Kluyveromyces lactis: one gene and its partners. The protein of the gene in region 2 binds, or shares a complex with, the protein of the main gene of each other region. Links are inferred from orthologs where the notes say so. Each region holds a gene or a part of one and is shown on either strand. Other genes may lie near its edges.

Region 1 (2,105 bases), on a different chromosome or scaffold from region 2:
GGAACGCAGCTGTCCGCTCGCCGAGGGTTCAAACCCCCGGTGAGTTATAATCAAGCAAATCCCTAACGGGATTTTCGCTTCGTGAGAAGGTTGTTTCTAATGGAACTTCAGCTTGAGCCCTATTGTCGTTGTTATAATAAATCAAGTCGCCAGTTCTTCTCTAATGGAGACCACGTGACATGGGAGGGACAACGGACGGACAGTTTAGCTTGTCATTTACGACAATGCCTAGTTGAGTGCAATGCAGGGAGTCTGCAACTTACGCAGATAACACAATACCGATTACCTTGTGTCTGAGGAGCATCTTTTTTTGGCCAGTCATATGGCAATGAAATGCAAACCTTTCTATATACAGAAACAGAATGAATATACATGGGAGAGATAGTCCTTAAAATCTATGGTAATCGTAGTAGCTACGATAAAATGTTATGATATAATGTTATAATATAATGTTATAATATAATGAAGTATGTACAGAATAAAATTTGAGGTTGGTAGGGAGAATTTCTTCTTTAAACCTTTTAACGACCCATGGTTTGATTCATGGCAGCATTTTGCTCTTGGAAACGTTGACCCACACGTTCACTGTGTTTCAAGAACTTTTCTGAACATCTCATTATACAGTTTTGTTCCTTAGAAGTAAGCTTAGCGGATGTGAAGTCGTTGACACAGTCGCTGAAACATCTTTCGACCAAGTTGGAGTATAGACGCATGAAATCCTTCATTTGCTTTTGTTCCACGATTTTTTGGAACTCTTGTTGTTCCTTACCATTAAGTTGATCCATTGTGTGCTTGCTTCTTTTCTTATCCGGGGTATATGATAATTAATCTTACCAATTGGATGACAAACAGTCTGGAGGAAGTTTGAGAGGGCTTATCGCAATGGTTGTAATGGTTTAAAACTCTTTTTCGATGATGTAGTTTCTGGTTTTTAAATCTCACATAATGAAAGAGAGAGAGAGAAGCAAACAAAAAATTTTCAGTTCAATACAACAGATCACGTGATCTTTTTGTAAGATGAAGTTGAAGTAGTGTTGCACCGTGCCAATGCAGGTGGCTATTAGATTAAATATGTGATTTGTTCTATTAAGTTTCCTGTATAATTAATGGGGAGCGCTGATTCTCTTTTGGTACGCTTCCCATCCAGCATTTCTGTATCTTTCACCTTCAACCTTAGGATCTCTACCCTTGGCGAAAAGTCCTCTGCCAACAATGATGATATCTGATCCACCACTTACAACTTCGTCGACGGTTCTGTACTGCTGACCCAATGCATCGCCTTTGTCGTCTAAACCTACACCTGGGGTCATGATTAGCCAATCAAACCCTTCTTCTCTTCCTCCCATATCGTTCTGAGCAATGAACCCAATAACGAAATCTTTATCACTCTTTGCAATATCAACGGTACCCTTAGTATATTCACCGTGTGCTAGAGAACCCTTGGAAGACAATTCAGCAAGCATCAATAATCCCCTTGGTTCTTTGGTGACCTCTTGCGCACCTTGTTTCAAGCCAGCAACAATACCAGCACCAGTAACCCCGTGGGCGTTGGTGATATCAGACCATTCTGCGATACGGTAAACGCCCGATGTATATTGTAATTTGACTGTGTTACCGATATCGGCGAATTTTCTGTCCTCAAATATCAAGAACTTGTATTTCTCTGCCAATGCTTTCAATGGAACGACAGTACCCTCATAACTGAAATCATCCAAGATATCAACGTGTGTTTTCAAAAGGCAAATGTATGGACCCAACGTTTCAACAAGTTTCAATAGCTCATCAGTCGAACGAACGTCAAGAGAAGCACACAAATTGGTCTTCTTTTCATCCATTAAACGTAAAAGTTTCGATGCAACCGGACTTGCATGAGTCTCAGCTCTACTGGTATATGATTTTGTGGACATGGTGCAACTAATTGACGGGAGTGTATTGACGCTGGCGTACTGGCTTTCACAAAATGGCCCAATCACAACCACATCTTAGATAGTTGAAATGACTTTAGATAACATCAATTGAGATGAGCTTAATCATGTCAAAGCTAAAAGTGTCACCATGAACGACAATTCTTAAGCAAATCACGTGATATAGATCCACGAATAACC
Region 2 (2,671 bases):
GTCTGTAAGCTCCAGCGAAACGTTTGATGATGAAGTTAACCCACAGTTTATGCCGAAGCTGCGATCTAAACAAAGCATTGTACAACTGTCCCAGCATAATACCCCAAAGAAGTCAAATACATTTCCAAAACGAAGACAACTGAAAGAGAAGCTTGGTGATCCATTGCCCTTACCTTATCTTGACCCTCAGCAAAAAATGGAAGTTGGTCGTGACCTCGAATCCAGATGGAATACTATAATATCGAACGCAAAGGTACGACAGACTAAAGCAGAGCCTGTGAATAAGGCCAAGAGGGTATTAGAAGCACCGTCTTTTGAAAGTCAAAGAAAAATTTCCCGCAAAGTGTTTCAATCTAGTGAAATAACTACATTGGAATCCCAATTGAAGGACACTAGTGCCAAGCTAGATCGGTTGATCGATATTTTGCAGGACAAAGAAACTTTAATTGGCAAATCAATGACCTATGAACCAGTGATATGGTTAAGTTGTATCATTATTCTCGTACTTTGCAATGTATGGGTGTATCATTACCTATGATAAAGACTGAATTGATATATAAATGCACGTATTTACATGTAAAGTTCATAGATATCATGACCTGGAGTCTATCTAATGTACAAAGAACGGACGCTTAATGCTTAGAGTTTCAAAAATATAAACTGATCATTCATCGAAGTCATCCTTGGGTGGTTTCTTATTCTCGTTTCTCATGTATAAATCAATGGCCGTAGAGAAGGCAGCAAAACCCGCACAACCCACTAATGCTGCCTGAGGTCCACTCTTGTATGCCAAGCCACCGCCTGTCAAACAACCTGCAGCTACACCGTTATATATATCGTTCTTTGCCCTTAACGATTCCACCACACATTCGACACCTGAATAAATCATACCGATGTAACCGAAATTCTTTGCACTGGAGTAGGATCTTTTTCCCATATCACTAAACTGGATCTTTATCTGCTGTTTCAACGGTAGATCTGCAAGCTCTTTCACTTTATTTGGTAAACCTGGAGCATTGGTTGGAGCTGGCGTATGTAGAGGTGTGTCATACGCCATCGATGCCATAAATAAACCGAAAACACCACCTAATGCAAAACCAGTAACACCACTGATGGCAGCTTTTCCAGGACAAGAAGTCATAAACTCCACCATCATTTGGGCACCTTTTTCACCTTGTTCTTCAGGCGAAAGTTGATCAAATGGTTTATTCTCTGGTGGAGAAACTTGGTCTAAACCAAACCCACGATACACCATTTTATTTTAACGTTTCTTACTTCAACAGTAGCTAATCTTCCACAACTATCCAATACTTCACGGTGTCCTTTTACTACTCTGTTCAACGATGTATATATTTATTTCAATATTATTTTCGATGAGCTTTTGATATTAGCTATTCCAAAGCTTTTTTTCTTTCGATAAGAATAAGCTTCAACTCTGTCAATATGTCAATATTGACAGAATGCCTCATCGCATGCACAGAAGGCAGCATTTTAAGCAACTGTATGCGGAATATGAGACCTTTTGATAATGCAAACGATAGCCAGCACATTAGACTGCTACTATGGGACAAATTGTAATTCATTATGGTCTCTCGAAGAAGAATTATCTCGAAAATTTTCAGCATATGCAAAGAATTACGAATTTCCAAAGCTGCATCGTTCGTATTTCCATAGCGTTGAGCGGTATTGTCCTGTGATTTGTTCTCAGCTGACTTGGTCTCATGATGGTACTTCTATTTGCGGCGTTTTTGATGATTTTGGAATACGACAGTATCTTATACCAGAAGATCCACTTGTAGATCATTGGGTTCCTTTCACACGATGGTTTGTGAATGGTTCCATTATTTCCTCTGTCGTCCACCCTAGATACTCACTGTATGAAGAGGATTCAGCATATCAAACTATACTTTGTTCTTCAAGAGATCTGCCCATAAAATTGTACTCATTACGATCGGACAGCATCAATGAAACAAGTTTATACCATTACTCTACTGTTAACGAAGAAAATGAAGCCTTTGAAACGGCTTATTCAATGACAATACTTCAAGACACTATGCATTTCATGACTGGATCTGTTAGAAACAGGATAACTATGTATGATTACAACCGACATAAACCGATATGGCAACATCAGTGGACAAAACAATCATGCGGGAAGTCATCACAGAAGGCTATCGTATCATGCTTTGATGAATATAACGAGGTACATGACAATGTCAGGTTTGCTGGTACTTATAAAACAGAAGTGCTACGAATTGATACTAGAAGTACTAAATCTGAACTAATAAGTGAGCGTGATTCATTGGACTCGTGGTCAAATGGAATCTACCAAGTCATTAAGTCGGATAACGGACATTATTTGTACTGTATTAAACGTAATGCAAGAGAAATCGATGTTATTGATACACGAATGTTAAAATCTAGAATTAATATACTGGAACTTCCATTCAAAATTGGTAAGCAGAAATTCAAGGCATCCTTGAACAGTGCCAAAGGTTTGTTAATTGGATCGTACGATGGTCAGGTTGCATGCTGGGACAAAGATTGCATTGAATTTGGTGGGTTGGACCCACTTCAAACCGCTGGTACTGGAATAAAGCCAACGAATAACATTCTTATTTCAGATGAGAATGTAAGGGTGAATTGCATTGCAACGAATCCTGTTGATCCA
Region 3 (2,731 bases), on a different chromosome or scaffold from region 2:
ATAGTCACTTTTGAAGTATGTTCTCTTGACATGAATAAGTTTCATGAAGGAATGAAAAAAAAAAAACCTCAATAAGTTTCAAACCCAAAGCACATTTAGTAATCTCCTCAACTTGAGGCGGTTTTTCTTCAGCAGAGACGAATGCAAAGTCTTTTGCATTCAGGATTTTATTTCATTAAATTGTGTCAAACCGGCTGTAATCTATGTGATTGCCAAAAAAGGCAGTTACAATGAGATTGGATCAACAACTTTAAACGCATGTAATCATGGGCAAAAAAACGAACAGCAAAATACCCAAAATGGTCTATTCAAAGTTAGATTGCTTTACCCCGTTTGAACTTTTGGCGAGGAAAAGGACCAGCTGAATCATCAGACTCAAAGACTAAATTAAGACTATGGTAAGAATAAATAACACTAGATGTAGCACTAATAAATAATAATGATAATAAATAAATGAGAGTCTAATCTGCTTGGAGGTCAATTCTCCGATGAATTACATATTGCTTGGACAGAGTACCACACTAAAACCTTCCAAATACATATGCTCTCGAATCCCCCTTATCTTTATCCCAAAGAGTAGAGACCAAATCTATTAGTCCGTTATTTTCCGTTTCTAAAACATAAATTCCGTAAAGACTGAAGGAGCTTCCAAGTGCCAAAGCGAATTTAGCAGCCTTGTGCCAGAATCCGAATTTTCTCTTAGGGATATAGTCAATAATGCAACTTGTTATACCTAAGTACGCATGTATTAGTATTGTACTGGCCAATAGAGAATCAATCACTGGGAAGGGGAAACCTGATGCAAAGGTAGCAGAAGACATAGCTCCATACAAAGGAACCATTGTCAAAGGAACTAACGACACTGCAGTGATACGTTCATAATCCCAGTGATACGACCCATGGAACCAATTCGGTTCTGTCTTTGGTAAGTTATCGTTTACGTTTCCGGTAACTCCGCCTGGAGGTGGTGGGATTAACTTGTACTTCGCAAACTTACTGGAACTAAAAACAGCTGGTAGCCTGATACCTCTCAACTGACGATGAAGCAAAGAAGTTCTTAACATGACTGGAAGTGGCTTGTTTATCATTGATCTGGCAATCATTATGTCGTCTTGGCTGCCATCCTTACTTTTCAGGTACTTTTCGATGTATGCGAAGTGATGAGATGAGCTTAGTCAAAAAATATTTCATTTTTCACTTCATCATCGATAATGAGATTGGAGCAAAATTGATGAGATCTGAAAAGAATACAGAAGATGCAGAATAACCAGAAAGGCAGTTATAGCGGTAGTGGTTTCTGTTAGAGGCTCTATGAATTAATTCAATCGTAAAATTTACATTCTAATTACAATGTATCGGTGACAAGTTTTTCTAATGTAAACTAAACGATGGTCGTACTGTTTACGTTTTCCTATTTTTCACTTGAAACTGTTTGTCATGCGACAAAACAAAATGGTTAAAAAGTCTGTGTCAGTGTGGAATAAACACAGAAACTGTTCCTAACTAGCTAGAAAACGATCCATTACAATCGTTTTCTGTTAGGATGAAGAACTAGTAAACCATGTCTGTACTGAGTACGTTGCAAACAAATGTCACGGGACCATGGTTTTCGATACAAGACAAGCATCTTATAAAATGTGTGGCCTATTCATGGTTTTTGTTTATACTTTTCATACTTCAGTCAGTGCTAGCAGGGTGGATATGGTATATGAATCAATGGTCCAGAATCATTTCATCAAAGTATTATTACAGGGGTATTATGAAAACTGAGAAGATTCAAACCATGGTTAATATATGGATTAATGAATTCATTATATGGAGTGTGCTAAGAGAAGATATCCAAATTATTTACGAGGGGGAAACAATCAACACAAAATGTAAGAACCAACTAATACTAAGCAACCATAGATCAATTATCGATTATACTTTGATTCAATCCCAGTTCGGAGCTGAAAATGTAATTTTCGCAGGTTGGACTCGTTTAATGAAGTATCCCAGTTTTAAGCATTTTTGGACAATATTCAGGCATGATGAGAATGACAACGTTTCGGTATCAAAGATTAAGAAGTTTTATGGGCCTGAGAATTTGGTAATATTTCCCGAGGTGAATATCTTCACACCAGAAGTTAAATTGATTGAAAGAAAGTTAATGAAATTGAAATACAAAGGATTACCTGTTTTGCATAACGTTCTATACCCCAGATTTGGTACTTTCGTAAATCTGATCAAAGCTTTTTCAAACAGCAATGACAGAAAATGGTGTCGCATGTTGGAGTACCTTATTCTTCCGACAGAACCGATATTACGTGACTCAATGAAGTTACTAGATTTAACTTTGGTTTATTACAAGATCACGTTGAACTCAATGGGTGAGTATAAGTTGGAGCAAACAATTCCAGCTCTATGGGACATATGGTCGTTGGAATCACCAATGATACTATGCATCCACGCATCGTACCATGATGTTGATAAACTCACTAAAAAGAAACCCAAACAACTAGAAAGTTGGCTAGAAACCCAGTGGTGTGCTAAGGATAAATTGATAGATACCTTTGAATTGAACGTGGAGATAGTCTAAAAAATGATACAATATTGTATGTGTACATTCCGGGTTGATGGTATTGCGAGAAATATAATGAGTTCTGTTTCAGGTTTTAGCTATTTATTACATTACAACAGGAAATTGGAATGTAGGACGTCATTTATGCAAGGATCAATAAGTATTAGTTTA

What was found. Proteins that work in one complex are often made in the same cells at the same time.
Region 1: the proteins of TIM22 (region 2) and TIM9 are in contact, whole or in part, in a cryo-EM structure (PDB 6LO8), measured with the Saccharomyces cerevisiae proteins. The link is inferred for Kluyveromyces lactis from reciprocal best matches to the Saccharomyces cerevisiae genes TIM22 and TIM9. Residues at the interface, in NP_010064.1 of Saccharomyces cerevisiae: Glu196, Asp197, Arg199, Pro200, Pro201, Gln202, Asn203, Asp204, Phe205; in NP_010894.1 of Saccharomyces cerevisiae: Thr37, Asp38, Cys39, Asn41, Asp42, Phe43, Thr44, Lys51, Glu52, Cys55, Lys58.
Region 3: the proteins of TIM22 (region 2) and TIM18 are in contact, whole or in part, in a cryo-EM structure (PDB 6LO8), measured with the Saccharomyces cerevisiae proteins. The link is inferred for Kluyveromyces lactis from reciprocal best matches to the Saccharomyces cerevisiae genes TIM22 and TIM18. Residues at the interface, in NP_010064.1 of Saccharomyces cerevisiae: Ser145, Leu146, Arg147, Tyr168, Lys169, Ala170, Gly171, Pro172, Ala175; in NP_014940.4 of Saccharomyces cerevisiae: Ser76, Tyr77, Asp80, Tyr81, Ile84, Leu109, Tyr124, Tyr162, Glu165, Thr166.

Annotation. Positions count from the first base shown.
Region 1 is NC_006041.1:2,034,797-2,036,901, reverse strand, and holds TIM9 (protein transporter TIM9), read right to left. Parts: upstream 786-2,105; coding exon 522-785; downstream 1-521. Other genes in the region: URA3 (orotidine-5'-phosphate decarboxylase), read right to left, coding at 1,104-1,907. UniProt on the Saccharomyces cerevisiae protein: Mitochondrial intermembrane chaperone that participates in the import and insertion of multi-pass transmembrane proteins into the mitochondrial inner membrane.
Region 2 is NC_006040.1:726,803-729,473, reverse strand, and holds TIM22 (translocation channel protein TIM22), read right to left. Parts: upstream 1,256-2,671; coding exon 665-1,255; downstream 1-664. Other genes in the region: KAR1 (Kar1p), read left to right, coding at 1-538; SWT21 (Swt21p), read left to right, coding at 1,529-2,671. UniProt on the Saccharomyces cerevisiae protein: Essential core component of the TIM22 complex, a complex that mediates the import and insertion of multi-pass transmembrane proteins, such as mitochondrial carrier family members, into the mitochondrial inner membrane.
Region 3 is NC_006042.1:2,330,636-2,333,366, reverse strand, and holds TIM18 (Tim18p), read right to left. Parts: upstream 1,104-2,731; coding exon 522-1,103; downstream 1-521. Other genes in the region: MUM3 (Mum3p), read left to right, coding at 1,562-2,578. UniProt on the Saccharomyces cerevisiae protein: Component of the TIM22 complex, a complex that mediates the import and insertion of multi-pass transmembrane proteins into the mitochondrial inner membrane.